Drosophila melanogaster: one gene and its partners. The main gene of each other region encodes a partner of the protein of the gene in region 2 in a complex. Each region holds a gene or a part of one and is shown on either strand. Other genes may lie near its edges.

What was found.
Region 1: Nup214 (region 2) and xmas share a complex: the UniProt entries of both Drosophila melanogaster proteins name them as parts of the nuclear pore complex.
Region 3: Nup214 (region 2) and Nup98-96 share a complex: the UniProt entries of both Drosophila melanogaster proteins name them as parts of the nuclear pore complex.
Region 4: Nup214 (region 2) and Nup107 share a complex: the UniProt entries of both Drosophila melanogaster proteins name them as parts of the nuclear pore complex.

The regions. Positions count from the first base shown.
Region 1 is NC_004354.4:17,154,843-17,161,062, forward strand, and holds the start of xmas (xmas), read right to left. Parts: upstream 4,465-6,220; 5' UTR 4,373-4,464; coding exon 4,329-4,372; intron 4,265-4,328; coding exon 2,731-4,264; intron 2,671-2,730; coding exon 171-2,670; coding exon of another isoform or gene 136-170; exon of another isoform or gene 1-135. UniProt on the Drosophila melanogaster protein: Involved in mRNA export and mRNA coupled transcription activation.
Region 2 is NT_033778.4:22,917,936-22,927,093, forward strand, and holds Nup214 (nucleoporin 214kD), read right to left. Parts: upstream 6,808-9,158; 5' UTR 6,720-6,807; coding exon 6,684-6,719; intron 6,628-6,683; coding exon 6,489-6,627; intron 6,430-6,488; coding exon 4,697-6,429; intron 4,644-4,696; coding exon 4,462-4,643; intron 4,405-4,461; coding exon 4,063-4,404; intron 4,007-4,062; coding exon 2,811-4,006; intron 2,713-2,810; coding exon 1,230-2,712; intron 1,137-1,229; coding exon 1,112-1,136; 3' UTR 1,002-1,111; downstream 1-1,001. Other genes in the region: CG30187 (uncharacterized protein), read right to left, coding at 1-262, 325-473, 531-576, 633-837; ReepA (receptor expression enhancing protein A), read left to right, coding at 8,691-9,158. UniProt on the Drosophila melanogaster protein: Part of the nuclear pore complex. Serves as a docking site in the receptor-mediated import of substrates across the nuclear pore complex including emb, RanGAP and phosphorylated Mad. Protects mbo/Nup88 from proteasomal degradation at the nuclear pore.
Region 3 is NT_033777.3:23,774,936-23,784,088, forward strand, and holds the start of Nup98-96 (nucleoporin 98-96kD), read right to left. Parts: upstream 6,687-9,153; 5' UTR 6,230-6,686; coding exon 5,950-6,229; intron 5,890-5,949; coding exon 3,352-5,889; intron 3,273-3,351; coding exon 2,754-3,272; intron 2,686-2,753; coding exon 2,503-2,685; coding exon of another isoform or gene 2,483-2,502; exon of another isoform or gene 2,281-2,482; intron 2,173-2,280; coding exon 1,997-2,172; intron 1,941-1,996; coding exon 1,658-1,940; intron 1,599-1,657; coding exon 587-1,598; intron 530-586; coding exon 120-529; intron 56-119; coding exon 1-55. Other genes in the region: mbc (myoblast city), read left to right, coding at 7,405-7,453. UniProt on the Drosophila melanogaster protein: Part of the nuclear pore complex (NPC). Required for MAD import as part of the Nup107-160 complex and required for nuclear export of Moe probably via its association with Rae1. Plays a role in nuclear mRNA export.
Region 4 is NT_033779.5:10,732,793-10,739,366, forward strand, and holds Nup107 (nucleoporin 107kD), read right to left. Parts: upstream 3,280-6,574; 5' UTR 3,154-3,279; coding exon 981-3,153; intron 917-980; coding exon 552-916; 3' UTR 501-551; downstream 1-500. Other genes in the region: Dpy-30L1 (Dpy-30-like 1), read left to right, coding at 26-430; Vha16-5 (vacuolar H[+] ATPase 16kD subunit 5), read right to left, coding at 3,584-4,165; CG12299 (uncharacterized protein), read left to right, coding at 5,096-6,574. UniProt on the Drosophila melanogaster protein: Plays a role in nuclear pore complex (NPC) assembly and maintenance. Required for nuclear import of Mad. Mediates the association between the nuclear pore complex and a subset of active chromatin regions adjacent to lamin-associated domains.

The DNA of each region.
Region 1 (6,220 bases), on a different chromosome or scaffold from region 2:
ACCTAATCTAGATGCAGTTTAAGATCTAGCGTTGTCTCATGTTACAATTGACAATATAATGCTTAACCACATATATTAAAACTACACTTAACATTTATATGATACAAATAAGAGAATAACTACAGCAGAACGTGACTACTTGGATTTGGACCGCTTGCGCTTGTGCTTACTGGCATGTTTGTGGTCCGATGCGTCTCTCCTCTTCCTCGACTTATGTGACCTGTTGAGCTCGCGCAGGGTGTGACGCTCATCCTGACGCTGGTGAAACCTCTTCAGAACAGCCTCAGCCTTGCTCGTAATCTCGTCGAAATCCAGTTGTTGCACCTCCGCTTGTGATGATGGCTGCTTCTCCAGCATCTGGGCATTCTCTTCGGCGGGAACGGGCTCGTAAATCTGAGGCTCACGAAACTCATAGTACCATGCGCTCAGGAAGCGTCTCTTCAGCGTTTTCGTATTGTACACAATTCCTTGGGGCGGATTCCTCTCTTGCCGCAGTATGTATTGCATTCGTTCGCCAGCGAGATATTCCACAAAGTTCAAGTAGTCATCCGTGTCGTATTGCAGAATTTTAATGGCCTGGAGGGCGATCTGTTCCACGCAGTCTTCCTGCTGACTTATCTGCGCGTAGTCCAACACCCACTGGCATTGGGCTTCGGCCAGGGATGAAGACCTCGGCAGTACCGGCATCTTTGGAAGTTTACAGCGCTCCAAAAGCTGGACAATACGCTGACGTCGCTCGGGCAAGTGCCAACCGGGTTCAAAGTGCTCCAAGCGATTGGTGTTTAGTGATGATTCGATGGGCAGTGGCTGCACAAAGACACGCAGCTCCTCGGGAAACTGGGGCCAGTCGCTTAAATCCTCGCCGGCTACCAATTGCAGGCGGTGCACTGCCTCGTTAAAAAGGTCCACACAACGCTGTGGATTCAGCTGAGTGTCGCTTCTAATGGCCGTATCGTGCTCAGCGGCGTATTTTAGGCGGCGAAATAGTTCCGATCCCAGATTAACGAGCAAATACTCGCGGGTCTCCACTTGGTGAAGATGTCCAACACGTTTCCTTTCCGTGGCTTTGGCCAAAAACTTTACAGCCGATTCCAGTGCAATCATTAAGCGCTGGCGGTTGTTTCCAGATTTTCGCAAACGAAAGATGTTAAATGAGCGCAGACATAGTTCCTGGAGAGGAATATCAGGTTGAACAAAGGCGGTATTAGCTGGATGCTGAACAATTACAGCCACATCATGACAGCGGCTTGCTTGCAGCAATGGTTTCAAGCGATCCGGCAGTAAACGAATGTCATCCAGCCCGATTAAGCAAATAATACCATTGGCTTCGGCCAGGTCGGTGGCTTTCCAGTCGTGGTCATCATCTCGGATCTTCATCACACTCAAGCCAATACCCTGAGAGAAGCCTCTGATGTAGCCTCCATCCACAAAACGAGCATCCGGCGACTGTGGCTGCTGCAGTAGTCCCCTATCCAAATCGCAGTTCAACTGGAGACCCTCCTGGCCGCCGGACAGGCTTATCAATAGCTTGTAGAAGCGTCTAGCTCCTGGTTGCGCTACCGGCAGACACTTGTCCAAAACGTGCCACAGATCCAGTTTCAGCCAACTATGCTCCTCCAGGCCAGCCAGAAGTTTGCCATAATCGCAGGGCTCGCCAAGTCGATAGCGTCTGCTTAGACGCAGTGAATCTTCCATGCTTCGTTTGTTCACCACTCCTTCGGGGTTTTCGGCTCCAAAACTTAAAGGCAGTTGGTTAAATAGCGTGTCCTTCTCCTGTTGCGTTCGCCGATATTTCCGCCATCGTCTGATGCACACCCTCATGACGCCTAGTTCGTAGATGGATTGCTCCATCTGCCGCTCGACGAGATCGCGTGTTATTGAGTCCAGCATGGATTCGTAGGAACGGCAAGCCCGACTATGCGACATAAACTCGCTTTGGCAAATCTCCGCGAGGGTGTCCTGGAATATTTCCTGATACAACTCCAAAGTCCTGGTCTGTTTGTGGGCCTCCCTTTCCTGCTGCTGCACAAAAAACAACTGTTCCAGTTTCAGTTGCCTCTCTTTTTCCAGCTGAAGTTTCTCCTGCTCCCGCTGGCGTTGTTCCTCCAGTTCCTGCTGCTGGCGACGCTGCTGCTCCTGGCGTTCCCTGAGTTTCTGCTGACGCACTCGCTCAGCCTCGGCCACTTTGGCCTCGTGAATAGCCATTAGCTCAGCTTCCCGCTTCTTTGCAGCGGCAATGGCTACTTGGAGGGCCTGATGCTTGGCCTCTTCTTGTGCCCGTCGCTGCTGTGTAGCCGGAGCTTGTTCCTGGAACTCCTGAGCACGTGATTTGGGAAGAACAAAACTGAATCCATCGATGGAGGAGGCTGGCGGAACAGCAGCCGCAGCAAATACTCCAAACCCTGCTGCCGTTCCGTCGGGTTGCATGGGCACCTTAAACAAAGTATCGCTATGTTTTGAGACTGCTGGTGGCTGCGAAGGCATTTGTGGCTGCATCTCCTCTTGCTGCATGCCAGCCAGCTGATCCTTGGCCGTCCATGCAATGCTCTTAAGCATTCCATAATCGTCGAAGCTATTGTGCGGTCGGTGATTGAGGTAGAGGTCTCGTGGTGGTAAAGGTTCCCCACTGACGACTTCGCCCACGCTCTTCACGCGTTTCACTTCCACCAACTGGAAGTGGATAATAAAAATCAAATTAATAAAACAAAAAAAAGAAAACCATTTACTTACCTCATACTGTCGCGGCAGCTTGTACTCCGTCTCCACCGTGTGCATTCTGCTTAGCACAACTCTGCCCGCCTCGTTGATCTGCAGGCCATAGTGTTGGACAAAATCCGCCGCCTCCTGTTCGCTGGCAAAGCTCAGCAGCTCGGCGATGTAGCTGAGAGGCAGCGAAGACACCTCATCCTTCCGCGGAGACCTATACGCCTGGATCAGACGATGCAACCCCAGCACGCGCAGTCGCGTAAAGTAATTGACTAGGATGCAGGCACTCAGGTAGCTGGTATCCTTGTCAGCCAGCAGCTGAAAGAACCGCACAAAATTCGTGTCCTGCAGGGCCAAGTAGAACTGAATGGCTTGACGCACTTCGGGACAACTCTGCAGTTCCGCGGGCAGCTGACCGATGTCCCAGAGAAAGTTGGCATCGGCCAGATTGAGCAACACAATGTAGCCCCGGAATTCCGCCTCTTTGGGACATGGAACGCCCTTAATCCGCAGGTCATGGTACATGTACTTCAGAGTCTGCAGGCATTTGGTTAGATTCTCGGCGTTGATCTTGCTGTCAAAGACGCTGGGATCGGCGTCAACCAGACGGGCGGCGCAATGAATGTGAAACCGGGCGCACTGCTCCACCAGCTTCACAGCGCCCAGAGAGCATAGCTCCTGCTGGGTGATCTCCTTTCGGATGGACCTCGTGCGATCCCAAACGAAGTGGAACCAATCGCCCATATGGCTTTGCGGATCCTGGCGCTCGCTAATGTCCATGATCTCATGCATTAGATAGCTCATGGTCATGTGCAGGGCAGTCTCATTGCGCAGTTCATGCGGCAGTGGCGTCTCCTGGTCGGCACTGCTGCGCGAGTACTGCTTCAGGGCTCTTTCGTGACAGATTAGCTCATCGGAGCCCGGTTGTAGTTCATAGTAGGCTACCTGGCGCTGGAATTCTCTCAGCACGCGCTCCTTTTCCGGACACATATCGGCGCAGTGACCCTGGGTGGCACCGGACAGCTTGTGTTGCGTTCGGTTCAACCGGAGCAGCTTATCGCGGGCATCCAGCACGCTGAACTTCTCCTCGCTTGTATGGGCGGGTCTGCGCATCATGTTCTCAAGATCCCTGAGCTGGGCAGGCGTACGATCTCTGCTCACCGGCGCCGTTGCGGGCCCAACTGGTATGGCAGGCAGCATTGAACTGCCACCGCTACCACTGCTGCCATTTTGTGGTTTTTTTATCGGCTTGCCCGACCCATACTCATTGCGCCAGCCCGACTGCAGTGCACTCAACTCCGCCTGAATGTCAGGATCCACCCACTCCTCCGTTTTCTGTGCCGGCGCCGTCTCGTTATCAGCATAGGATATATCAAACAGGTGACCCTGAAAGCTGGCGCCATCGAGAAGCGCCCGCGCCGCCTCGTCCTCGCTGGCATAGCTTACGGTGCAGGTCATTCGCCGCGGACGCAGGACGAAGTTTACGAGGGTTCCAAAACGTCCAAAGTGCGAACGCGCCACATATTTGTCCAAAAATAGCTCCGGAATGTTTCTGCATCTGGGGATTCGTATGGAACTATAGTTGACATCGCTCTGCCTTTGATGAACGAACTTTTACTCACAATAATGTCTTGTAGTTGTAGCCGCCGGGACGGGGTTCTGCCATCGATCGAATATAGTTTAAGGTTTTTAGTTTCTTTTTTAGCTGAATGAGAGCGAATGTGTGCTTTGTTGTTACAATATTGCCGTCAAGCGATTGCCGGTAATCGATAACGCAAATCTGAAAATGGCGCGAAAAAAATACCGCAATGGCTATCCCACCCACACAATATCGTTCAGGTTTAATTGAAAATTTTAATGTTTTACATTCGAGATGAATGTATTTGCCTAATAAATAAAATGTTAACAGGAGTTGGTAAACATATATTCTTAGGAAATTAGGAAATGCTTGGGGCGTTCCTTAAACTGTTGAATGAAATCGAACATCTTCTTATATTATCTTATATATATATGAATATATATATAGGTGTAGCAATCTTTTTAAGTTCTTTTTATTCTCTTTTAAGCTCTCGATTCAAACTCCTCGATCTTGATAACACTATCTGTCGTTCTTAGGACTATACAATTAATCCTATCGAAATTGGTTGTTCCTAGTATTTTATATTTATACATAGCTTACATAAGAAATATTTTCATCTTTACACTTTAATATTTTAAGACGATTAATTACCTCTTAATCAATATCTCTATTTAATAGGCTGACTTATATAAAGCAATGCAAATTCAATAAAACTTATTGCAGAATTAGATGGCATTTAGCCCAATCCCTGATTTTAAAATAAGCGGGAGATAACGAGCAGTAGTGTGACCGCCCAGTAAAGTATAACCAAATACCGCGAAGAAGCCAAGCTGCTGTTCCGATAGTATCGATGAGCCTGCCATCCCCAGAATTTTGGTCATTTGTTGTTGCTCGCCAGGGCGAATTCGAACTCGAAGCGCAGTAATCAACGCGCTGCTCGTGGATTTTTTTTGCATTTTTTTGAGTTCAAATAGTTCGTTAATAAGAGTGGCGGTCAACGATACTATTCCACTTGCAATCGAAATATGAATAGTTGAAAGTGATAAACAACAAGAAAGAAGCGACGCCAACGGGCGAAAAAGGAGATAACCGAAAACGAAAAACACGACAAAAGCAACGTTAAAAGAGAGTAACAGAAAAGATATAAAAACGATGATCGAACCGTAAATTTAAAACCATGCAATCTACAGCGCATAATATATAATAATTTGACCAAAACAAATGCCAAGTTTGCGAGCGAGAGCGAAGAACGTTAAAAAAAGAAGTAAATAAATGATCTTGGCCCGCTGTTTGTTGTTCTTGTTATTATGGTTGCCGTTGTTGTAACTCGTTTTTTTTAATGCGCGCGTGTATGAATCACACAAACACAACAAAACAAACAATAACAACGATGCCTTACGGTGAAATATGCTAAGTAAATAGCAAAAGAGAGTTCCAGTTTCCAGAGAGCGACAGAGAGGGAGAGCGCGCGAGAGCGACTACAAGTACATACTGGAAAGCGATCCCGATCCTTTTTCCAGGCACGCAGCCATCTCGCTCGCACCCATGCCGCCCTAGACCAACTTTTGTTGCAGCTGCCTAACAACCAACAATACAGCAACAACAAGCGCACTGTGCACGCGAAAGGAGCAACAAGGATGGCGATAGCTGGAAAGCGACGACGATGATGATGATGCGGTCGTAACAACAACAGCAACAAGAACAACAAAAAGCTGCTGCAGGCAGACGAGCATAGCGTTAAAAAAAAGTAGCTGCATACAAAATAGTAATAGGAAAAAATCCGAAAAATTCGAGAAAAAAATAAGTTAAAGAAACGATCGCCCAATTTAATCAAGTGCATATATGTGTGTGCAAAATAAAAAGTGCATTGCAGCAGTCAAAAATACATACTTATTATCGCAGATCGAAGACGATAATAGTTATTGTTAACACGAA
Region 2 (9,158 bases):
TCGTTTGTCAGGGGACCACCAGAATCGCCCCCACAGGTGTCTCCGGAAGGTACACCAGCGCATATCTGCTTCTCACTGGGATAAACAGACAATTCCATATAGCACTCTTCACGATCCAAATGATTAAGGATGATTGTCTGAAGTATATCGGATGTCTTGTTGCCGCGTAATGTTCCCCATCCAAAGGCTTTAAAGGTCCGCATGTTGCGCATATGGTTGGCCATACTCTTGTTCAAAACGATGCAGATTGGACGAATAAGGGCTGGAAATAGTAAGGTATGGTTTGTAACACTTTCTGGGGGGACGAACAAATCAATCACTTGCCATTAAAGATAACGTCGCTGGACAGCTTTAGCAGGCCAATGTCATTTTCATAGGAAGCACGAACGTCAAACGAACTATGCACTACTGCTGTTATGACGTCTTTCCGATCTGCAGGATCACTCTTGTTGTAGGCACCCAAACTCACTGATCTGTTAATATCGGAATGAGAATCATCTTCACTTCAAAGTAAATCAAATTATACTCACTGGACGTCTTGGTCAACTATGCAATGCGCAGCTGTCAAAACGAATCCTAAGAAAGCAATATTTGTATTATTAATTAATCTCGTTCCGTTGAAATATACAAACGCTTATGAATCAGCGTGCCACCGCAGATAAAATGTGTCCGATTGTGTACAGCTGCCATCCAGACAGAATTTTGAAATGCTGCATTATGCCCGCCGGTGATTTTGAGTGCGATATTGATTCCACAGATCTGGTCCAAGAAGATTGAAGCACCCACATCTTTGAGGAACCAAAAAATGACGGGAATCCAAGCCAGACGTGTCTGCATCTCATGAGATGTTCGAATGAAATAGGTGATAACCTTAGCATGAGCATAATACCATAGCAAGTATTTCATAAAAAAAGAAACCCTTATCATACTAGACTATAAATACTAAATAAAGTTCAGTACACACATTTCGCGTGAAGTAAAAACACAGTTTTTTTTTTTTTAATTTTAATAAAGATTTAAGATTTAAGATTTTTAATTTTAACTGGTATTCTTATTTCATGAAAACTGAACAAGCAAAACTATTGAGTTATGCAACACATTTATTATGAACTCAACGATAATTCATAAAGCTCGATCTGAAATAGTAAAATTTAATATTTCGTTAGTCGTATGCATTCTTGGAAATACTTATATAAGTATGCATATGTATGTATGTCGGTCGAACTTACCCGCCAAACGCTGGTTTCTGTGCATTTGAGTTTCCAGTCTGTGCTAGATTTCCGAAAGAGAGTCCCGATTCCTGTCCCCCCAACGTTTCAAAAATGTTTCCCTGTGCCGGCTTTGCAGCAGCACCAAAGGGTGGAGGGGAGGCTACTGGGCTGGCACCGCCAAATCCACCGAAACCCTTCGGACTGCCAAAGGTGGCACCTCCCCCAAAAGTGGGGCTAGCTCCAAAGGCCGGGGATCCACCGAAAACGGGCTTGGCTCCAAACCCACCTGGTGTCGTAGTTTGCTGCTGCGGGGCTTGTGGTGAGCCAAAACCTGTCTGGGCCACAGATCCACCCCCGCCCTGGCCAAATCCACCACCGAAGCCCCCCTGAGCTGGTGTCGTCTGCGTGAAGGAGCCAAATCCACCAGAGCTGCTGCCACCCCCAAAGATCGATCCGCCAGATGCGGGCGGAGCTGTTGCTGGTGATCCGAAAATAGAGTTTCCTCCGCCACCAAAAGGAGAAGCTTGCGGACTGCCGACGGGATTGGAGAATATATTCCCACCTGCTGCCGGTGCAGCCGCTGATGATTGACCAAACACTTTTTGGCCAAAAATTGAAGTACTTCCTGCAGCCGGAGCGCCGACTGCGCCCTGCGTATTACCTCCTCCAAAAATTGAGCTGGATCCAAAAGGTGTACTGGCGGATCCGCCACCAAAAATAGATCCTCCGCTATCGCCTGCTTGTGCTGGTTGTCCAAAGACACTTGGCTTAACAGCCTGACCAAAAATGTTACCGCCAGAGGCTGGTGCTCTAGTCGTGGGACTACCAAACGGCGAAGGGTTACTAATCGCGGCCGATGCAAAGAGACCCGCTGGTGGTGCATCTGGTGTTGCCGCAGCCGTGGTGTTTGAAGGAGCAGTTGTAGCTCCTCCGAAAACGCTGGTCTCCGCCTTAGGTATACTGCCAAAAATGTTTGCACTCGAAACTGGACTTTTTGCAGCTGACTGAAAGGGACTAGCCACTGGAGCCGCTGTTGATGTTGCTACTGCGAAGCCACCACCAAACACTGAATTCGACGAGTTATTGCCTGTAGATGTAGCGGTTGGGCTTTTGGCAGCTAAGGGAGCTGAAGCGCTGGTAGTTGGAGCTGCAGCACCTCCCGCACTTAGGGTGCTAAATGCGTTTGAGAAGGAGAACGCACTGCCGGGAACAGCAGTGCTAGATGTTACCGTTGTGCTCGATGTTGCCGGAACTGCTGCGGTAACTGCCGCAGGAACTACTGCTGGACTAGACACAGTCGTCGTAGCAGTAGTAGTCGAAATGGCTGATGGGGTGGTTGAAATAGGATCAGTTTTGTTGTTCGCCTCCGTCACACTTGTGGGAGCTGTTGCCACTGGTTTGGTACTGCCGAATAATCCCTTTGAGGCATCAATCGTTCCGCCAAATGAAAAGCTACCAGCGGATAAACCTCCTCCAAAAATGTTGGCTGGTTTGGTGGTATCTGCAAAGTAAAAGACATATATAGCCGTTTAGAGTTTATGCCAAATAAGCGTATACATTTATGCGTAAGGTATATTGATAAAGGAAACTATAGCTTACCTGCAGGAGTGTTGGGCTTGCAGATAGTCACAGAGCTAAAGAGGCCTCCAATAGGATCCGTGCTGCTGGTCACTGCATTTGTTGTGGTGACGGAAGGAGCATCAGTTACGCTGCTCGAAGCAATTACATTCGTAGGCTTGCTGGTGATGGTGGTTGTGTTGCTAGTGACCGTGGTGATCGGTTCAGAGTTGGATGGTTTCGCCAAAGCTGCTGAGAAGATGCCAAATGGTGCAGTTGAAGCTGATGTGGCTACACTAGTGGTTGCTGTGCTGGAAGGTTCAGATTTTGGCACAGCAGCGGCTGTTCCTCCGAAGCCTAGAGATGAACCCAGTCCGCCAAAGCTGAACGGGGAGCTGGAAGTATTTCCGACAGTACCTCCAGTTCCTGTAAATCCTCCAAATCCAAAGGATTTGTTTTCCGTCTCTGCCTTTGGTTTTTGGGGTACTTTTGACTCTTCTGTTTCGGGTTGTACCGCCTTGAATTCTTTGCTTTCTGCTGCTTTCTGCTCTTTGGGCTTAGTCGGCTCGGGTGTTGGTTTTTCGACCGCTGACAACGGGTTTGGTTTTGGTGTAGGAGCTGCCACGGCTGGCGATCCTGTTCCGAATGAGAGTGCCGACTTGGCAGCACCACCACCAAAACTAAAGCTGGAAATAGTACTGCCGCCGAAAATGGATAAACCCGGCTTGGCTGCTTCGCCAGGAGTCACAGTATTTGTCGTTGGCGTCACAGTAGATGTCTTCACAAATGGGATGCTTTGGCTGAAGGAAAATGGCGTAGCCACTGGAGTTGTCGGATGTGTGGGCACTCCAGGCTTTTCCACAACGGACGGTATAGATGGCATTGGTTTAGGCAGCGGAGGAGCCACTGTAACAGTTGCTTGTGGCATGGGTGCAACAGCTGGCGTGGGTGCAACATCTGGTGGTGAAGGCGGAGCGACTGCTGCTTGGGTGTATTTGTTGGCTGTTGCAGGCTTGGCTGCTGCCCTTTTAATTTGCTCCGCCCTACGTTTCGTTTCCAAAATAACCTCCGACTTGAGCCCCACTCGATCTGGTCGCTGGGGACAAATAACATTGATCTTCTGCAGCTGAACAATATTACGGATTTTTTGTAGTCTTTCTCGAGTGAGCTTGGCTGCATTAGAGTCCACTACCTGGCTAAGACTCATCGTGAGAATGGAGTCGGTCAATGTATCCACTCTAAATAAAAAAGTTATAGTCGCATAAAGAGAGAGGTCACAATAACTTCTACTAACGCTTCGTTGGTGCGGGTGCGACTTTTCTCCTGGTCGAGCAGTGCGGCCTGAAGCAATCCGCGCTCCTTCAGTTTGGACTTGATGTTGTTCTGTACAATTCGCTGGTTAGAAGTTAGATTTTGTAGTCTTGTCAGTCGTTGATAGATTCCCTCTAGGCAAGGCATGTGCATGCGAGACTTCGAATTGCGCCGCACAACATCCTGAAACTGTTCCCACTGCAAATCGACATGCTGCTGGGCAAGACGCAGCTGGGCCTCATTGGCAGCCACGTAGCTCTGAAGACGAGCTAGCATGCGACGGCCAGAGGGATCACAGGAGCTTGAGTTCATTAAACGCGTAATCCTAAACGAAAATTACGGGTTTTAAATAGCTTATATATTCAAAGAGTCCTTTACCCACTCTGGTTTTCTATAAATCTCCAGTTTCCCGCGGCACTCTGCTACGATGGCATAGGCCTCATTAAGACCCTGTCGCAATCCCTGTACATCTAACTCGAACTCCACATCCTTGGCTTGTTCATTGAGCTCTTGGAGGTCATCCAGTCTCTTTGCGTATGCCCTCAAAGCAGATGGTGCTGCAATCTGCGGAATAACAACTTTAATACATGAAGCAGTGTAATACCAACACTACTTACGCCTTTGAGGAGTTCCTTCGTCTGTTCCTTTTGCTTTTGGATATCCTTGCTAAAGGCTTCGATTTGTAGGGCAATCATGTCCTTGATAATAGGCTCAGTGTCATCAGGCTTAAGACTTTCATCTGCGATTTGTGGAGGAGCTGAAGTGGCTGGTTTTGTGTCCACTGGTGTGAATGTTAAAGGAACCGTGTACAGTGGTTTGTTTGCTGGAGCAGAAGCAGGAGTTGCGGGTACTGTTGACCCAGGTGCCGCTGTTCGGGGTGTCACACTGGCAATAGCCGGTTTATTCAATGCCATTCCCCCAAAGGCATTTGCTCCTGAAGCCGAAAACATGCTTCCCATGGCAGTAGTCGTTGCCTGCGTGCCAAACCCACCAAACGGTGTTGTTGGCTTGGCTGCATTGGTAGTTGGAGCACCAAACGAAACCGGACTAGAAGTCGGAGCAGTACCAAAAGATAGTTGCGGAGCAGGTGCCTTAGCTGCAGCTGCTCCAAAGCCAGAAAACAATGATGGTTGCTTATCCTTCGAGGGAGCTGGGGTTGAAGTAACGGTATTCGGTGTAAATGCAAAGGATATGTCCGAGGAAGCAGCAGGAGTTGCAGCTGGAGCCTTGGAGGGACTGGCTGCCCAAGCTGGCTGCTCTTCTTCCTCACTAGCAAGCAGCATATTCAACGGCTTGAACTGCCCAGAAGTATCGGCCACTGGAGGAGGTGGCGAACAAACAGACACCGCCGTCGGCAGCACATTAAGAAAGTTGAACGAGAGCAATTCTCCATCCGAACTCAAAACATGAACCATGGGCATAGTCTGCAGCTTCTTCTCATTTATCGTCAGCTGGTGCGTTGTAGAAGTGTCGAAGGCAAAGCCCAGCGGGAAGGTCTCATCCTTGTCCTCACTTAGGGGCATTTCAATGCGTGCCTCATCCAGCAATGTAAGCTGCTGCCAAGCGGGTGTATCGCCGGCCTCGGTTGACCGCATGATGCCCACCTCTACGCCATTGGCCGAGACTACGAGCAGCAGATTCCACTGGGGCACATGGCTAAATACGAACTGATGATTCCTCGGGCCGTTCATGCTATAGCAGATGTCATAGTAGTTTATGTAGCTGGGCGCACCAGCCTTGGGAGCATTTAGAATGTAAAGCGAGGGGCTACAGTCCTCGCCATGCTGGAGAAAGATCACTGCAAACTGGAAAGTCGACAGCCACTGTATAGCAATGGTGTCAAAGGGGGCATCATGTATATTCGGAGGACACAAAAGCGTCTTGGCCAGAGTCAGATCCGGCTTGAACTGCTTCACCGTGCCGCCGGGAAAACCAAGAACGATCTGTTTGCCCTTGGGCGACCAGCAGCCGCACTTAACTTGTTGATTTTTGTCCAGCGAGTGCATTTCAAAGTTTCCCCCCTCCTTCAGGGCATACATCGCGAGCGCTCCGTTGCTCAAAACAACGGCCAGGCTGTTGGGCAGCACGGGATTCCAGAGGAGCTGGACGCCGTGCACGTGATCCTCGGCGGCGAGGCGAATATTATAAACAGGACGTACATCAGGGGTCATGAACGATAGCACCGCATATATGCTGAGCAGGCTGGTGCCGTTCTGGGTGTGATTCACGGCCAGCAGGTTGCCATCGGAGCTGCAGGCAATGTAATTCGGAATACTGGGCAGTGGCACCAGACGCGCCTGCGGCTGTTGGGCTGTGCTCTTCGCATTGACCAAATCCTTTACAATAATCACTGCAAGGAGTGCCAGGATAAATTTATATATTTAGCCTAGCTAACTCAAGCTACATTACCTTTGAGTTCCGGCTGCGTTGGACTCCCGGCAAAGAGCAATCCCCGGCTACTGGAGACCGCCAGCAGGTTCACATTGCTGCGGGGCTCACCGCATTTTTTGAACGCAACAATCTTGTGGTGCAGTTTGAATTGAAAGTCCTGCGACCAAAACCAATGGAATGTTTGACATCTCAGTGCTATGCAATTGTGCTTACCTGCGTGTCCTCGCAGTCTGGTGCATTCTGCGCCATTTTTGTCTGTTTTCGCTCCTATTTCGCCAAATTTTTTGCGGCTTGTCGATTTCCCAATCGAGTCGATGGTGTGGCTGCAAGTTGAGATCGTTGGAAACGTTGGCAAGCAAAAAGCGCGCCACTTGCAGTACGGTCACTTTCAGGAAACTCACCACAAAAACTCACCACCAAAAAATCCAACAACATATACAATACAATCTGATTTAAATTTCATAGATGTTCCTTTAAAAAGAAAATGGGATAAAATCTTATATAAAAATAGTTTTCTCCTATAACTAACTGATGAACTTGTTAACTAAAAGAAACCAACTTAGCTTGAATTAAGTATTCACCAATCTTGTCTTAGCGGTTGACCATATGGCAATTGCACTTTGTTGGTATTTTTTCAGACGGTATTTTGTTTTGGACAGTATGTGCGAGAACGAAAATTTCAGCACATCGCTAGCGCAGCAGCCTTGTTGTTGTTCGTCTGTCTCTGTCCTACAAGCGTTTCTTTTTGTTTGCTGAGAATTAAACAAAAGCGATTTGTTCGCGGGCAATGCGAATGCATTTGCAAAGCAGGGCACAAAGCATCGGCTGTTTCGACTGTGATTGCACAAAGCCATGTAGTAGAGGTCGAGCTGGCGATTCGCAATTATCCACAGGCGACGCAACACGGTGCTAAAAATTGCGTAGCCAATTAATCTCGAAATCCTTCGAATTCAATCGCAGTTACCAAAAAGTAAATGAAATTTAAATCGACTTAAACAGAAATCTGTGGATTTTATTTCGATATTGCCCATAAAGTACCCCAAATCACATAATTTACGGAAAAGTCAAGGAAATTCCAGGTGAAAATTGGGGTTGGAAAGGAGGCCAGGATAACGGAGTGGACTCTAATTAAATACCCTACAGTTTTCCCCTAGAGCAGCCAGGCGACGCTCAAGATGATCAGCAGCCTGTTTTCGCGGCTTATAATGTGAGTAATAACCGATTACTACTATAGCAAATCCCGACTTCATAGCCACCGCAAGTGAGTGTGAGTGCGAGTGAGAGCGCTACAGCTGCTGACCCCCAAAAAAAAACAAAACTAACTTTTCAAGCTCGGCCTTCGAAAGCGAGAAAAGCACCTACGAAGCCCGTCGTCGTTTCCTAATTGTGTGGGCGTCACGCTTCTGATTTCTAAGTTTTATACATTTCCGTGGTTCCTCGATTCGCTGATTGCCGGATTGTTTGTTTATTAATCAGCTGTCGCAAAGTACCGTTCACTTGTGCGCGAGTGTGCGCGGCCTGTGTGTGTAACCCTCGATTGAACTCCTAATTTGGAGTTGCAACTTTCCAAGCTTCTGCGTCTCTGTGTTCCCGAGGCCGACGCACTCGCCTCGCCCGATTTGGGTGCAGAACATGTGGATATAGCCTGTCGGCGACCCGGCGACTCTCTGTGACTCCGCTATTGTTGTCAATATTTATAGATCGCAACTCGACGCTTGCCCATAGTGTGGCACAGTCGCGGCCAAGTAGCTAGCACCTCATTTGTTCAAGCACACAATACCTCCGTTAGCATTTTCCATTATGTCAATACATCTTAACTTCGAACTAGACTTTACTTTTGATAATGAAATTAGTAATCGGTTCAAATCAATAACTAACATCATAGTCAAGATATATAGTTCTTACATCTAAGGAATTAAATCGAGGCGATTTCTCCCATTACTCGCTAAAGTATCCTTTCCAAATTAAAGATTCAAATATCTTGATACTGAGGTGCTATTTTCTTGAACGCCTCTGTCGCAACATTCGGAACTGCGGCGCATTCCTACGTGTAAACATTGAGTGCTCCTCTGTTGCTGGTTCTCTCTAGACCCGATCGTGGGTTTATTAATAGACCTCTCGCCTGAGCGTTAGACGCCGAGCTACGGCAGTCTCTGCTCGGCGTTCTAGCGGCCAGGAACTATCTGCGATCCGTGCTGCGGGCAATGCATCCCCGTTGCCATGAGGCCAATCTATCAGCAGGAGCCGCCGCTCTTCTACCAGCGGCCAGCTAATCTCCGCCGCCTACGTCATCCGCCGGGCACCGTCTACGGACGCAGTTACTCGCTCGAGGACCAGCCAGAGGACGTGATACCCGTGTATCCAAAGTTTATCTACGCCCCACAACAGCAGCAACAGCAACAACGGGCCCCATATCCGCTGTATCAACTGGGCGACTCGCTGAGCTCGCTGGACAGCGATTTTCCCGAGAATGAGTACGCGGGTGCCTACATAGTGGAGGATCGAGTTCCGCTGGCCAACGCACCTACTCCCAAAGTTGTCCAGAACCTCAATGCGTTGGGTCGAATGCTGGAGCTGCTGCAGCGCTGTCCTCTGCCATGCCTCTCCTTCAACACGGCCTGCATCTGCTCACTGATTGTCATATTCCTTGCGCCTCGCACTTGTGCCCAGAGTTTACTGTTTCCCGCT
Region 3 (9,153 bases), on a different chromosome or scaffold from region 2:
CTGCCCTCTGTATCCTCGAATTGAATGAGCAGGCTATGCAGGTATTTCATTTTACCTGCAAGTTTGCAATGACAATTGTTAGTAATCCACCGAAATAATTCTTATCATAAGGAACCAACCGTTTATGATGGCATCAGGAGCAATGTGTTGGAAGATGACATCGTGCGCCGTAGCAAAATGTTTTGCCTTTAGCAGATATTTGGCTTGAAGGTGATGCTTTCCTGACGCTCCCGCCTTTACCGCCTTCGCATAGTCCACCCACGACATCGGAATACCAAGCTCTTCGACGATAAAGCGCTCTTCCGCATATAGAGCCACCTTGGCGGAAACGCTGACATTCCTCTGTAGCATTTGCTGAACTGCACGTTCCCTCTGGGTCTGCTGCTTAATATGCAAAAGAACAAAGATACCCCACTGCCAGAGGCCTTCGTTCTCCAACTGGCTAGCGAAATCCACCGAAAGACGAGCCTCCGTTAAGGGCGAACAGTGACGGTAGCCAAGAGCTCGCAGAGTTTGCAAGAGCAGCCAGCTAAAATGATTTGATATGATTTATTTTGCACTGTACCAAAAAATTCTTTTAGCTCACCTCAAACGAAAGTCCATGGCATCGGCGGTATGCGTTATAGGATTGAGAGTTTCTTCCAGGGAATGCATACGTTTAGAGTGTAACTGGAGCAAGTGGTAGCGCAAATCGTAGACGGGCTTCTTGGTGTCAGTAGGTGCGTCCCTGTAGCTGGGCTTTGGGGGCTCCGCATAGCACTCTTCCGCTTGGAAGGCGTCGTTATAAGCATTGAGTGCATCGGTGATAGACGATGTTGGGGCTGTGAAATACCATAGCTGCAGGGCCAGTGCTGTCAGCCAGTTTTTATTCTCGAGTAAGTTGATGGCCCCATGTGAAGACTGCATCATTGGCGCTCCGGCGGCCAGCATGTACATCTTAAGGCGCTCCAGATCGATATACTTATCCGACTTGCTCTGCTGCCAGGCAAAGAGCTGCTCCTCCATTAATAGCCGGAAGACAGCTCCGGAACTTAATTGGGACAGCACAAGAGCCAGATTAGCATCATCGTAGCTGAAGGCCAGCTCACAAGCCTCATTTACGCGATGGCAGCTAAGTAAATCCAACATGTGCTCCAGGTAGCTGTGGGTGCTAACTTTTTTCGAGAGTAGATCTTTGCCCAGCAGCGTGTTCTCAAGCCACTCGGATAGCAGATTGCGCCGACACATGACCATGTAATGAGAGTTCTTTTCCAGGTCCACCAGTTCATCGTGATCGCCCCATAGTGCGAATAAAAGCGACCACACTGACACGCTATAGTCCTCTTTTAAGCCAGCATTTCTCTGCTTAAGAGACTCGGAGAAGTGCTTGGAAACTAGTTTCGTACCGCTATCGGGATGTATACACGGGCACTCACTACCCTCCACATTAACTGAGAGGCAGTCGTTAAGCTGAACTTCGAGATGGGGAATGATACTTTCTCGAAAACCCTCGTTGCCTTTGACCATGTTAAACTCCACCAACTGCATTACACTGGGCGACAAATCGGTGGCCGAGCGCGGCGCAAATACCATGGAGACGGGCAGGGATGGTCCAGTAACTGAAGCAAAGGGAAATTATTATAATTGGACTGCTACAGCTTGTTTCAGATATTCTTACATTCTTTTAGGTTTTGCATGTTATTATAGGTGCTTGGCAGTACCAATGAGTTTTGTGGACCAAAACTGAGCTTAAAGCTGCGTCCTTTGTAGAATCCCAAATCGGCGATCCAATTATCGCGCATCTCATAAGCGATGGACCTGGGTAGGGGAACCGTGGTGGCACGCAACTTAATCGGAGCCACTTTGGGCTTACAGACAAACTTGAAGGCTTTAGTGACAGGCATTTCAAACTTCGTTTCTTTTACAGCTGCAACAATGCTTCCAGTTGCCATCGACGATGTCTGAAATTGATCAGGATGTTTATTGGGCTTCAAAGTAAAAGGTTACGTCGATATACCTCCTCATAATGTGCATCACACATCAGGCTGGCCTCAGAGACGGAGGAAGAAATCGGCAGAGCGGGCGATGGGTGTTCAAAATCGTACTGACTGGAACTCTCGGAGGCACCATCTTTCCAAACAAGAGGTTCCACGTTGAAAAACTTGCGATGACGAAGAAGACGCCCCGTAGTCTCTGTAGAAATTTATGAGTAATTTTCAAATGTATAGTGGCCGTGTGGGATGATAAGCAGTGAATTGTTGTAATTATAATGAATTGTTGCCAAAGCAGGCAAAATGAATTGGATTTACTAACACATTTGAAAGCTTTATTAACTTTATAATTTGTGCTACCTTTTTAAACATAAATATATATATATAATACTTTTTGCAACGATCAAAAATCATTAAATATCGTTGATAATTAACAATACATATTTGCTCAAAACTAACGATTAACATTTAAACATCTACATATCTTTTACTGTAAGCAATTTGAAAGACCATCAAGAGATTATCCACCTACCCATGGGTTCGTCCTCGGGAGCATTGTCCTCCACAAAGAAGGATGACTTCATTAGCTGCATTTTGTGCGCCTCGTTGCCTACCATTTCCTGAGCCAAAACAGCTGTGGGACTGGTAATCGTTGGACGTTGACGCGGTGGATCAAACATGGAGAAATCGGAGTTGCCACCAGCTTGGAAAAATTCTGCGAATTAAAATTAAGTAAATTACAATTAATGAAACTAAACCTTTTAAAATGGACTTTAGACGTACGTGTTTTGTCCATTAAAAGGAACTCGGCGGTATCATCCATTGGCCTGAATCCGCTGGCAACACCTGCGACCAAGGCTTTTGGGTCCAAGTTACGGGCTGCATCTTCTGAAATCTTCTGCGCTTGGCGCAGCGAATTGAGCGTCATCTTTTCTGCGTTTGCCCGCTGCTGAGCCTCAAGCGTTGCAATTTTGGCTTTTTTCGGGTCAGTGGGCAACTCGTCCTCTTCGTCGCTGTCTCCCAGGCCATATTTAGAAAAGTGCTTGACGCGGAAGACCCAACTACCCGTTTCCGGGCGGTATTCTATAAAGCGCGTATCGTTTTTATCGCACACCCGGCGCAACTTGCCCTCCCAGTCCATCTCAAGCAAGCGTTGTGGGTCCTTGATGGCTTCGTGCTTGGTCTTGTCCAACGGCCATACTTGGTCCAAAGTGACCTGGGCGTCACGGTTTAGACCTTGACCAATGGGCGGCTTGTTTTCGTCGTCGGGATAAATGATAATCTCCTTGTTGCGAAAGTGGACTGTGATACAAATTGTTTTGCATTAAATAAATGTATGAGAGCAAACACAAACGGTTATAAAAAAACACAAGACTCTTACCAATCTCATCGAGGTTCAGGCCAGCCACATCCATTTCCTTGCCGAAGAAGACATTGCCGTATCCTTCCCGACCCACCGTAAAGTTCGGAACCACACAGGATCCGTCCTCGGCCAGATAGGAGCGTAGGTCGTCTAGCGATGGAATTGTATAGTAACCCACGCGTCGCAGCACAATGCCTGTTGGATGTGATTCGTCGTCTGCTGCCTCTGCAGCAGCTGCCTCAATGGCTAGGCGGGATTGGTTTGCTGCAGAGTCCTCTGCCTCATTAGATCTGTTCGAAAGCACACTCTCATTGGCCTGCTGCGAAGTGAAGGTTTCGCGACGTGCAATGGTGCTGGATTGATCCTCAAATGGATTCTCTGGGATGGTTGACACCGAGAGGCGAACGGTGGAGGATGGTCGGTATGTATCTAAAGGTTTACGTGGCACAAGCTCGTTGAGGGTGCTGTTATGGGGCGATCCCTGATCCATTCCAGTCTGAATGTTGTGCTGGCGTACCTTCTCAAGGTTGTTAGGATGCAGCCATGACTCACGGCGGCCGTTATCCTGACTTTCCCGTCCATTCGTTGCTCCAGGCGAGTTTCCAGCTGGTGGTAGCGGCTCACTTGGAATGGCTCCGCTAAACGACTCGCGTTCTTTGTTGGGAGTTGCGCCTTTGGGTCGAGATTGGGGCGTGTTGGGAGCACTGCCAATAGAGCTAGAGGGATTTCCACCCTCTACACTTTTTACTTTGGGTTTGATAACTAATCGTTTAGCACTGGGCTTCAGATTGAAGCCCTCTACAGAAGCATCAAACTCCTCGAGACCATCAAACAGCGATTTTCTATTAAGTGTGCTGCCCAGCGCCTTTACCTTCATTGGAGCAGGATTGTTGCTGGTACTTATCTTGTACTGGTTGCTGGTCAGGTCCAGAACTGCTTGTTGGGCAGCAGGATTTGTAGCTCTTGTTGCATCTGCTTCACTGCTTAGCTTTAGATCCTTGAAAATCGGAGAGTCTCCGTAGGGAGAAGTTACCCTAGCTAGGATCTGCTGATGAATGGGCTGGTGTGAAGGCGTCATGATACCCAGTGTGGGCTGAGCTCCCATAATACCACCAGTTAACGAGTTGTTTGTACCCATACCGAAGCCTCCTCCGCCCAAGGAACCACCGACACCTCCGAAACTGGTAGTTCCTCCTCCAAACAGTCCTCCCGTTGGGGCAGCACCCGTGCCACCCAAGGTTGTAGTACCTCCTCCAAAAAGACCTCCTCCCGGCTTGGCTGTATTTCCGAAAAGTGATCCGCCCGTGTTGCCTGCGTTGAAATTAAGTGGTGCTGCGCTGGTGGCTCCAAAACCTCCGAATCCGGACGTTGCTGGCTTGTTCAATCCCGAGTTAAAAAGGCCTCCTCCCGTTGCTGCTGTACTGGTGTTCAGGCCAAAATTTGAAAACGGAGTGCTAGCCGTGGAGGTTGCGCCGAAAGTTGGAGCAGCAAAGCTAGTGGCGGGCTTGTTTCCGAAAAGGCCTCCGCCGGCGGTGCTTGTTGCTGGAGCTCCAAATCCAAAACCTGTCGTGGCTGCTGATGCAGCCGTTCCCAACCCAAAGGCTGATTTATTTGGATCGGCGGCTGGTGTGGCACCAAAAAGAGTTGACTGTTGCGTTGCTCCGGCTGTGGTTCCAAAGCCTCCGAATCCTGTGTTAGTCTGTCCGAAAGCAGGAGCCGCACTGGTAGCAGGTGCCTGACCAAAGAGGCTTCCTCCCTGTCCAAAAGCAGGCTTCGCCCCAAATGGATTTGAAGCGTCAGCTGCGGGAGCGGCAAACGGAGTGGTGGTGGTGGCTCCAAAGGGCTTTTGCAGAAAGTTGTTTTGCTGGGTTGCTGCTCCGAATGCATTGTTAGTCGCCGGTTGTTGGCCAAAAGCGGTGGTGCCAAACATGCTCTTATTCTCGGTCACAGTTTGGCCAAACAGACCTGTGCTTGGTTGGGCAGTGCTTCCAAACAGGCCACCACTTGCAGGCTGAGCGGGCTGAGTAACCTGAGCTCCAAATCCAAAAGCTCCCGGAGCATTCCCAGCCTGTGGACCCTTGCGCCCGCACATATAGTCTTCCAGGCGGAGCTCCTCCAGAGATTTGCCCTCGAACTCCTTCATAGCCGTGATGCAGTGCTGCTTAGTGTTCACACTATTTGCCTGACCGCTCTTCATCAGGGTATCTGTACCAATGGTTGGCTGGTACTTGGCCACGGCCGTGCCCGTATTGACTCCGGAAGCTCCCACGGCCGTAGCCTGAGGTTGGGCAAAGGCGGAGGCGGTGCCACTGCCAAAAACATTGGTGGTTGTAGGCGCCGACGTCCCAAAGCCTCCGAATCCTGTTGTACTGGTGGCGGCAGCCGGTTGGCCAAACAAAGAGCCCGTGGGCTGAGCAGCAGCTGTTTGCCCAAAGGCCGTCATAGTCGGCTTGGCGGCTCCAAAGGCGGGTAGCGTCGATTGTCCAAAGAGGGAGGTGCTTGCCGCCGTCTGGGTGGATCCAAATATGTTCGAGGTCTGTTGCGGCTGCGAGAAGGCTGCAAAGAAGAAATTACTAAATTAGTAACATGATACCACTTCAAATGATCGTGTCTAACCTCCAAAAGCCGTGGGCTGAGCTGTGGCAGTGCTTCCAAATCCCGTGGACGTGTTTGCCCCGAATAAGCCTCCGGCGGGCTGAGCTGGTGTGGCTGCCGCACCGAACAGTGACTGCTGCGCGGGTTGGGCGGCAAAGGTGGAGGTGTTTCCAAAGGCCGGTGCGGCGGGTTTGCCAAATGCCGACTGGCCAAACGGAGTGGTTGTTGTGGTGCCGCTGAATCCGCCAAAGCTGGTGGCCGCCGGAGTGGCTCCGAAGCTGGGTTTCGCGCCGCCAAACATTTTGCTCGCTGCTGCTGCTCAGATAACAAACATATACTAGGTAGATCCCCTGCTTTGTCCTTCGCCGGAATGCCAACTATCGCGATGAGCAATGCTTCGATTTCACCACGTTGGGCAAGCTGGGGCGGCTGCGCCGGATGCGAAGGTTGTGGGACCGGACAGGCTTAGCTTAAAACAAATAAACACTCGCGAATTTGTCAAGTCAGCAGGAGTCGACCGAGTCTGACGCAAAAAGTGGACAGAAATGGCGCGCCGATTTTTTCACGATGTTGAAGAAAATGCAGCCAAAAGTGTGACCAAGGCGTGAAATCGCATGCAAAAATACACTGTAAAAAAGCAGGATACAACTGCCAGGCGCATAACTATTGACCATAACTTATTTATGGTCTTAATAAAATTTTTGCTTGGTGCCTCCGAAGCAAATTTACTATGAATGTGTGGAAAATGTATTTTATAACTTGGGTTTCTCGTATTTTGTAGGTAAGCTCGATTTTCACATTTTTATGTGACCGTACTGCGAACAAAGTGAAAACCCATTTGACATCAACGGTGTGAACACGCTGTAAGGGGCACTCTATATTTGATATTTTCGATTGGGAACAGTACGGTACTTCTGGGCATCGAGCACGCTCATTCACAACAAACAGTTGAAACGCGCGGGTTGTTTTCCGAGAGCGGTTATTTAATTAATTGGCAACTGTCACACACGAGTGTGTGTGCGATCGAGTGCGTGTACATGTGATAATTAGCTGAGCGGCAGCGGCCAACTCCCAGCCCAAATACAAGTCGAGAACAAAACGAGCGAAAAACGGCGCAAAATGCATTTGCGGAGCGACAATTTGTGCGGAATGCTAGCTTTTGTGCAATAATTATTTATTGGTTGCAATTGTCCAACCGGTGTGCTTTTCGTCGAAATCTGTAGCGAAATCGGAGGCGAAATGCTTGTGTTGGCGGCATTGTGAAAACGAAATCAAAATTTCAACTACGTGTTGCTCTTTTGCCGTTGCCTAATTTAATGTCTTGTTGTTTTTATTTTCGCAAACGAAAGTCCATCGCTTTGCATGTGTGAGTAGCGATCGTTTGTCGCCGTGTTGGTGGTAAAAGTCGGCGCAAAAACAACAATATCAGCAACAACACTAGTAGAAGCAACAACAACGAGAAGAAAAGCCTTCAAGATGAGTGTGTGGAGCGACTGCAATGCCAAGCAGGCAGAATTCGGCATTGGTAAGTTGGCAATGCGGCTATTAAGCCGATAAATTAGGTAGAATATGGCTAGGCAGGAATGTTTAAACAAAGTGCTTTGTAAACAACAATAAAGGAAAACTTTATGAACTGTTGGGCGCTCTTTTCCAGAGCACACCTCATCTCCACCCCCACCTCTCTCTCTAACTCTCTCTCTTATTTCACCGCATGTGTGTGCCTCCTGCTGCGTTGCTACGGTAAAACTTGTTGCACCTTCTCGCTTGCACACGCTCACTCGGCTGCTGTTGATCCTCCCTTTCCCGCTCTCACTGTGTTGTTTCGTTTTTCATTTCATTTCATCCTGCTCAGTCAACACTAGCATAAAATTCTGAGATTTGCTCTTGAAACTAAAACCTGTTTTCTATTGTCTCTCTCGCTTTTCATACTGTCTCTGTCTCTCACGTGCAACTGCAACACACTGCCAGAAAAAAGGCCTGGTACACATAAAGAAATTTTATACAATTAATGTAATTTTACATAAACTTAAATCTGAAGTACTACAACATTAGTACTACAACTTTTACGTATTTACGGGTGTGGGATTTGAAACCTGGTCTTTGTAAACCCAAGGCAAGCTGCATCAAGCTGACAGTAGAAATGTTTATTTTCTGTGTACACTGTGAGACAAATCCCAATTCAATGGCAGTGACCATGAAATATCTAATCGCGACCCGCTTCGAATGCGTGTGAATTTTTTATGGATCTCGTTTTGTTGACCTTTTCACCGCTGATCAATAGATACGACAGGTACATAAAGTACAGGTACCTCTAGTCCCAGGTAGATCGAGTGGAACTGGGAATCTCGTTCGTTAACACTCGAATGGAGCTTGCCGGTGTGTTTGCACTTGTTATTTACACACGTTTGCCTCTGCCTCTGCCCTTTTTTGTGTTTGCGCGTTTACTAGCTGTCGAAATCGCTGCGAGTACGAGTATCTGATAGTACCATTGGGGCGTGGCCAGGTGGACGGGGGTAGTGGGTGGTGAGCGGTGGTTGGTGGTATAATGTAATTAAGCGCGATAATATTTGGAATATGGGGCGGCAGATAAGTTAGTCGTTGGCATTGAGTAGCGAATTTGGCCTTTGTAATGCGAAAACGACTTACAGCATATACGAAATTCAAAAGAAACTCCTTATCAATAGCAGTTTGATGTATTCTTGTCTTATCGCTGTTTTCCATTCTGTTTGCATACCTTTTGTTTGCTTCAATTTTCAAATTCTAAGCAAACAGCCGGTTGCCCCACATTTTGTAAAAATTTTTTAAGCCAAAAGATTTGCTTGGCAGCTCATCCATTTTGCGTATTATTTTCGAAATATTGTAGTTTCTCGAAGGCAATAGCCATTGAGTAATCGCTTTATCACTTTATGGGCCCCATTCGAGTTATCGTTTATCGATGTGTGCCTGTGCTTGTGGGTGGCACTCAGCTGAATTGAATTCCGTTGAAGTGCGAGTGAGTGAGCGAGTTAAAGTTAAGTCCTCGGCCTCCTGCATAGCGGTAGTCACTCGCATATAAAAGATCTGGTGCATACATACATATTTTTCGTATGCTGTTCCCACTCACTCCTTTGGATGAGAATGCTGCATCTCCCTGCTCACTCACCTCCATGCACAGTGGGATGATTCCTGAAATTTACCTGAAATATATATAAAAGTAAACCAAGCGAATAGCCACAAAATGAAGGG
Region 4 (6,574 bases), on a different chromosome or scaffold from region 2:
TGCTGAACAAAAGGAACACATTGCCATGGAGGCCAAGACCGACGCACCCATCTCACCAGCGCCCACAACAAATCCGCCGGCAGAAGCTGGCAAGGAGCCAAATGCAAGCAGCAATGCGCAAGCAAACCCGACCGCTGCGCCGGGAGCTCCTCCATCCGGAGCCATTGCCGTTGGCCAGTCCACAAATCCAGTGGCGCAGCAGCAACAGCAGCCGGCGGTGGCCAAGAAGCCCAGTAGCGAGACAAACAACATGCCCACGCGACAGTACCTCGACCAGACGGTGGCGCCGGTTCTGCTCCACGGAATGCAGGCCCTGGCTCGCGAACGGCCCACGGATCCCATACAGTTCCTGGCCTCCTACCTACTAAAGCATAGCAACGGGTGCGACGAGAACAACGCCTCCGCCGCCGCCGTGGACAACAACTCCTAAGCCCTCCATCCTACCTACCTCCCATTTGTCCCCCTCCTTAGTTGTATAATTGAACAGTGAATAAATAATAAACGTTTAAAGTTAGAATGTAATCGCAAAACACACAAATGTACTAGGATTGCTAAGTTGTTATAGGATAGCCCCATGGATCCAGTTTCGAGTTGAGCAGCTCCAGGGAGGCGTCCGCGATCTTGGCCAGAAGCTCTGCCAGCTTGTGCTTCGTATAGACTTTGTACAACTGCCGATTCTCGCTGGATATTTCATCTGCCAGGCGCACGCAACCCGCAAAGTCTCCCGACTTGAACATCACTTCGTTCAGAAACAGGGCGATCTCAGGAATGCAGATGGAGCGCAATTTCTCCATCTGCAGTAGGCGATGATCCCAGCTCAGCTGCACGGCGTTCTCGGGCAGCTTGGCGATGAACGGATCCACCAGCCAACCCTTGTCCGGGAACATGAGCACATTGTACAGGAGTTCGATGGTTTCTGCAGGGAAAGAATGCGGGTTATATGCCAAAAGATCTCATTAATGGGTATGCGATCCACTTACGCTTGGCCTGCTCCTTAACCTTGTGCTCCCAGCGCACGACTTCCGATCGGTGAGCCTGCTCCTTGCGCTCACTCGCCATGCGCTCCGTGAAGTTGTCCTGCGAGGAAGCTGCGTGTGAAGTCTGTGGCTTCTTGGGCCTGTTCTGCTGCAGGCGGTTCCATTCGACGAAACTGTCGACGCCAGACAGATACGCCTTGTAGCAGAGATACTCCTTCAGGCAGCACTCCTCACGCGGTGGTATGTTGTCCACCGAGCCGTACAAGCTGACTAGTTGCTGCACTATGTCGGCCGGCACCATGCGGAAGGTCTGGCGCATGCACTCCACCTTGCTGCTGGCCAGATAGGTGCGTATCATGGCGTTGGCCTGCCACAGCAACTCACCGCGCTGCTCCGGCAAATGGATTAGCCACTCCAATGCTGAGATCTTGCGCTGATCGATTGCAGAGATCTCGCCGGACTGCGGCTCACCGAATTCCCCGAGTGGCTGATGTGCGAGGCGAATATTCTGCACGGTGACGCGTGTGATCTGTTCCACATCCAAGCCCGCCTGCAGGGCGGCATCCACAGCTAGCTCCCGCGGACGCTTCTGCTCCACTTGCTCCAGAAACCGCGAGTAGAGCTGAACCTGCAGCGGATTCGAAAGCGATGCAGTATAGTAGGCTATTAGCTGCGGTTCGCCCCTGGCAATCAATGCCTCCACATATGCGGCTACGATCTTCTCCGCCTGTCGCTCCTGCTCCACACGGCCGATTTGACGCAGGAAGAGCACTATGTGGGCCATAAAGCGCAATTGATGGGGCGATTGTTGGGAGGTATCCTTCTCCACCCAGCGCACCATGTGTTGGATCAGCTCGCCGCAAGTATCCAGGATTAAATGACGCTGGATAATGCCCAGTTGACTTTGGGCGAAATCCCGCACCGACGCATCCTTGGCAACGTTCAGTTCCTCGAAGATCTGCTCCATCGTCATCCTGCCGTTCCAGTAATCATCGGGCATCGGTTGGTAGTTTTTGAGGCAGCAGCCGCGTATCTCCGATTCCACACGGATGTCGATCTGCACCTTCAGATGGGCCCAGAGCAAATCGTGCCAGTTGCTGTGCAAAAGGGTTTTCAGCGAGCCCAAGTGGCCGGAGAAGACACCCGCCGTCGCGCGGCTGTACTCGTCATAGTTCTTGGAATCGGCCAGCATCCACGCGCAGCGCTTCCAGATATCCCTCCTGGGATTGCCCTCGATGGGCAGCTTTTCGTGCAGCACCGAGACATTCTGCTCGAAGTTGGGATCCTCGTGGAGACGCCAGCCCTCAAGGATCGCCGCCCGCCACGTCTGTCCGAAGTGCTTGCACAACTTGAGGCCATCGTCGACGCGTCCCGCTCGTATCAATTCGAAAATGGCGCGGGACAGGCGCAGGTTGTCCTCCTCGTCGAGGGCGTGCAACGGTCGTTTCTCGCGTACGGGAGCATCTGGATCCAGACGCGTTACGATCTTATGGCCCTTGCCAAAGGCGGCGCCCTGCAGGTTCTCCAGTTGGAAGAGCGTGTTCTCCCACGCCATCATACGATCGTGGGCGTGGAGTGGGTTTTGTTGCTCCCCCCGGTCGTAGCACGCCTCCAGCCAGTCCACCACCAGCTGGTACTCACGCAGCGTCGCATTGAGGGCGTACAACTGCTGTATGACCTCCTTCTCGCTGCCGCCGAGCGTGGGGCCATCTTGCATCTCATCATCCGCCTGCCTGTCCGTCTGCAGCAGGATGCGGTCGTAGAAGAGGGCGTGCAGCAGGCGCCACGTGTTTATCTCCTGTCGCAGCCAGGTGAGCATAGACTCGCGTTGCCGCGCGCCCTGTTCCCCACCCATGCCGTGATCGATCTCCAGCTCCAGCTGCTCCACCACGCCGCGACAGACTTGCGTCAGCGATTGGATCACCTCGAATGCCTCCTGCCCGTTACCCTGAGCCTGCAGCACGTCGAAGAACTGCGGGAAGAGCACGTCCATGCGGCTCTTGCCCCGATCCAGATCATCGCCGGTGTCCTCCATCAGCGAGAGCTCATTCTGCTCCGCGTTGCTCTTCTCGAGGATGAGCAGCGAGTGGGAGAGATTTTGCGGCGGCATCGAGCTGTTCAGCGTCGTGCGTAGCAGGCCACTGCGGCTGCTCCTCGGGAACGGGCTGTCGGCCATGGCTGCACTATGCGTTTCTTGGCTATCAGCTACGGCACATCAATTCAATTAATTTAATCAAAACAGAAATTCACGCGCTATTCGCTAAAAATGCCGGGAGCGTTCAGTGTTACCAGATGACGGAACAGCAAGAAAGCTCCCTTGCACATACACTTGTAAATAAGCGATTCTCACTGAATTCAAGCAAATTTCGTAAGAAACAAATTGATTTAAATTGTTTACATATCTAGTAATTCGGCAAAGCTGCTAAAGAATAAGGTACCAGCATTCCGTAGAATCATTAGTATGGGGTACCTCCATCGCGTACCGCAACGGCGTACCTGAAATGAGTACCACAATCGCGTAAAGAAATTCAAAAGGCATTTCAAATATTAAAGATCGATAAAAACGTTTCTTAACGAATTAAATATTTTAGATATAACAAATTCTGCTACTTAATGTTGACCGTGTACAAATAAATCCCAATGATCAGGCCGTAGAGACCGAGCACCTCGGCGAAAATAAGGATCAGGATCATGCCGATAAAGAGGCGTGGCTGCAGGGCAATGTGCCGCACGCCCACTTCGCCGACTTCACCCACTGCATATCCGGCAGCCAGTCCAGCAAATCCCACCGAAAGTCCAGCGGCCAGGTGTACATAGCCGGTGGGCAGCGAGTATTTGGGAGCAGGCGCTAGTTCCCCAGATAGGAGCACGGATACCACCAGACCGTATATGGCAATGATGCCCGCCATGACCACCGGAATGATGGACTTCATCACCAGCTCGGGACGCATCACCGCTGTGGCGGCGATTCCAGTTCCGGAAACAGCAGTTCCGTAGGCCGCTCCAGCGGAGGTCAGCACACTGGAGAATACGACGCCCATCACGCCATAGAACGGGGAGTACGGCGGATAGCGATCCAGCACGATTGGCGATATACTGGTTTCCTTCAGCTTGAGACTTTCAATCAGCCCCGGCACGTCCACCGAATTTGATCCGTTATACACTGGCAGATAGTAATCCATTTCCATTTTGGTAGCCTTTTTCGTATTTACTTGAAAAGGAACGATCCACGTTGCTTGCTTTCTGGATTTTCCAACTTGTTAGTCTGACTAGCCTGTAGTTTGGCAAGAAAGAAAATCCAAGGGGAACGAGATGAGCAGTTTATATTTAATATTAATATTATTTAAGATGTTAGGGCTCAATTCAATAATTTTAGCAACTTGTTAAGTGAAATTAAACACTAATAATAAAACTTGCTTAGATTTAGGCACTCGAAATTAAATTAAATATTATTAAATGTTTAAAACCTTCGAAAGATGTAACAATCGATTGCGGTTTGAATTTGAAGCTGCGCGGTTTATCGGTCATCATGCTGGCGACGTGCACGAAACGCTTGCATGACGATATGCTGCCGTCCAATCGTGCAAGGGCCGCCCAACATAAAACATTTTTCTTTTATTTGTTGTACGCACGGCGAAGACGCTTGCAATTGCGATTTTGGCTCTGCAGAATTGCGATTGGGCGATGCGCTGCATTCGCTCGAGTCGCAGCTCCTGGCAGTCGCAGCTAACCAGACAACGGGTCGGAGGACGGTACGCGATTCCGGCGACCCACGGAACCGAGCAGCCAAATTCAAAAACAAGCGAGCACCGAAAACAGGAAGCAAGTTATTCGCATTTCGCTGGCGGCGCATAAAATGGAACGCAGTGGACGAATGTGGACGAGAGCCCTGAGAGAAACACAAAAGCACGGAACCTGAGCAACAGCACACACCAGTGATATAATAGTAGTCTACGGAACCCCTGATCCACGGCACTTCGCATCTAATCTCACCCAAGGTACGGCATTGATTTTTCTCCCCGCAAACGCGCATTTTTATTATAGAGAAAATGTTCACACGCTCGTCGCTTGTGTTCCTTGTGATTTTTGTTGTTTGATTTGCACAGCCTTTTGGCAAGATGGCCGTGCAGCTGAAACAGAGCTACCACCACCTGCCCCTGACGATCACGCCAATCCTGCAGCAGACGCACCTCCTGCCGCAACAGGCACCCAATCCACCCCAGCAGCAACCGCAGCAGCCACAGCCGCCGGATCTCACCTTCCACTGCATGTGCTGTGCGGAGTTCTTCGTCCATCCGCTGGCGCTGTACCAGCACATGAACACCCTGCACCCCCATGAGCCGGGCAATGGACAGCAAGAGCAGGAGAGCCCGGGCGACGAGAGCGAGGACTACAGCTGGATATTCGAGCCGGTGTGCGAGCTGGCGGAGGATGGCAGCGACTCGTCGGATGGGAGCGCCTCCTCGGGCTCCGACAGCTCCTCGTCGTCGGACGACGACGATGACGATGACGACGACGACAGCAGCAGCTCCAGTTCGAGTTCCAGCAACTCGAGCTCATCAAGCAGCTCGGTGCCGACCACCAGCAACTCCAATACCCAGCAGAGCCAGGAGTCAGTGCAGCCACTTCACGGCCTGGTTGCCGGTCCGGGCTACAATGAGTTCCAGCTGCAGATGACAGATCCGCGGGAGTCCACCTCCATATTCATGGTGCAGCCGACCGTAAGCGTCACGCCCTTGCAGCAGCTACTACCACCGGCACCCACTGTTAGCCCGGGATTGGGCCTGCAATCGACGCCCATCAAGCGGCGGCGCGGAAGGCGGAGCAACATCGGTGCACCCGTGATGGATCCAGCGTTGAATGGCAACCAGAAATGCTTCCAGTGCACGCACTGCGAGGCGAGCTTTCCCAACGCCGGCGATCTGTCCAAGCACGTGCGCTCGCACATCACCAACAAGCCGTTCCAGTGCTCCATCTGCCAGAAGACATTCACGCACATCGGCAGCCTGAACACGCACATCCGCATCCACAGCGGCGAGAAGCCGTACAAGTGCGAGCTCTGCCCGAAGGCCTTCACGCAGTCCAGCAGCCTGATGGTGCACATGCGCTCGCATTCGGTGCGCAAGCCGCATCAGTGTGTGCAGTGCGACAAGGGATTCATCAACTACAGCTCGCTGCTGCTGCACCAGAAGACGCACATCGCGCCCACGGAGACGTTCATCTGTCCGGAGTGCGAGCGCGAATTCAAGGCGGAGGCGCTGCTCGACGAGCACATGCGCATGCATACGCAGGAGCTGGTGTACCAGTGCGCCATCTGCCGCGAGGCCTTCCGCGCCAGCTCGGAGCTGGTACAGCACATGAAGAACCACATGGGCGAGAAGCCATTCACCTGCTCGCTGTGCGACCGCTCGTTCACGCAGTCGGGTAGCCTGAACATCCACATGCGCATCCATACCGGCGAAAAGCCGTTCCAGTGCAAGCTATGCGACAAGTGCTTCACACAGGCCTCCAGTCTGAGTGTTCACATGAAGATCCATGCGGGCGAGAAGCCCTACCCGTGTCCCATATGCGGCAAGTCGTACAGCCAGCAGGCGTAC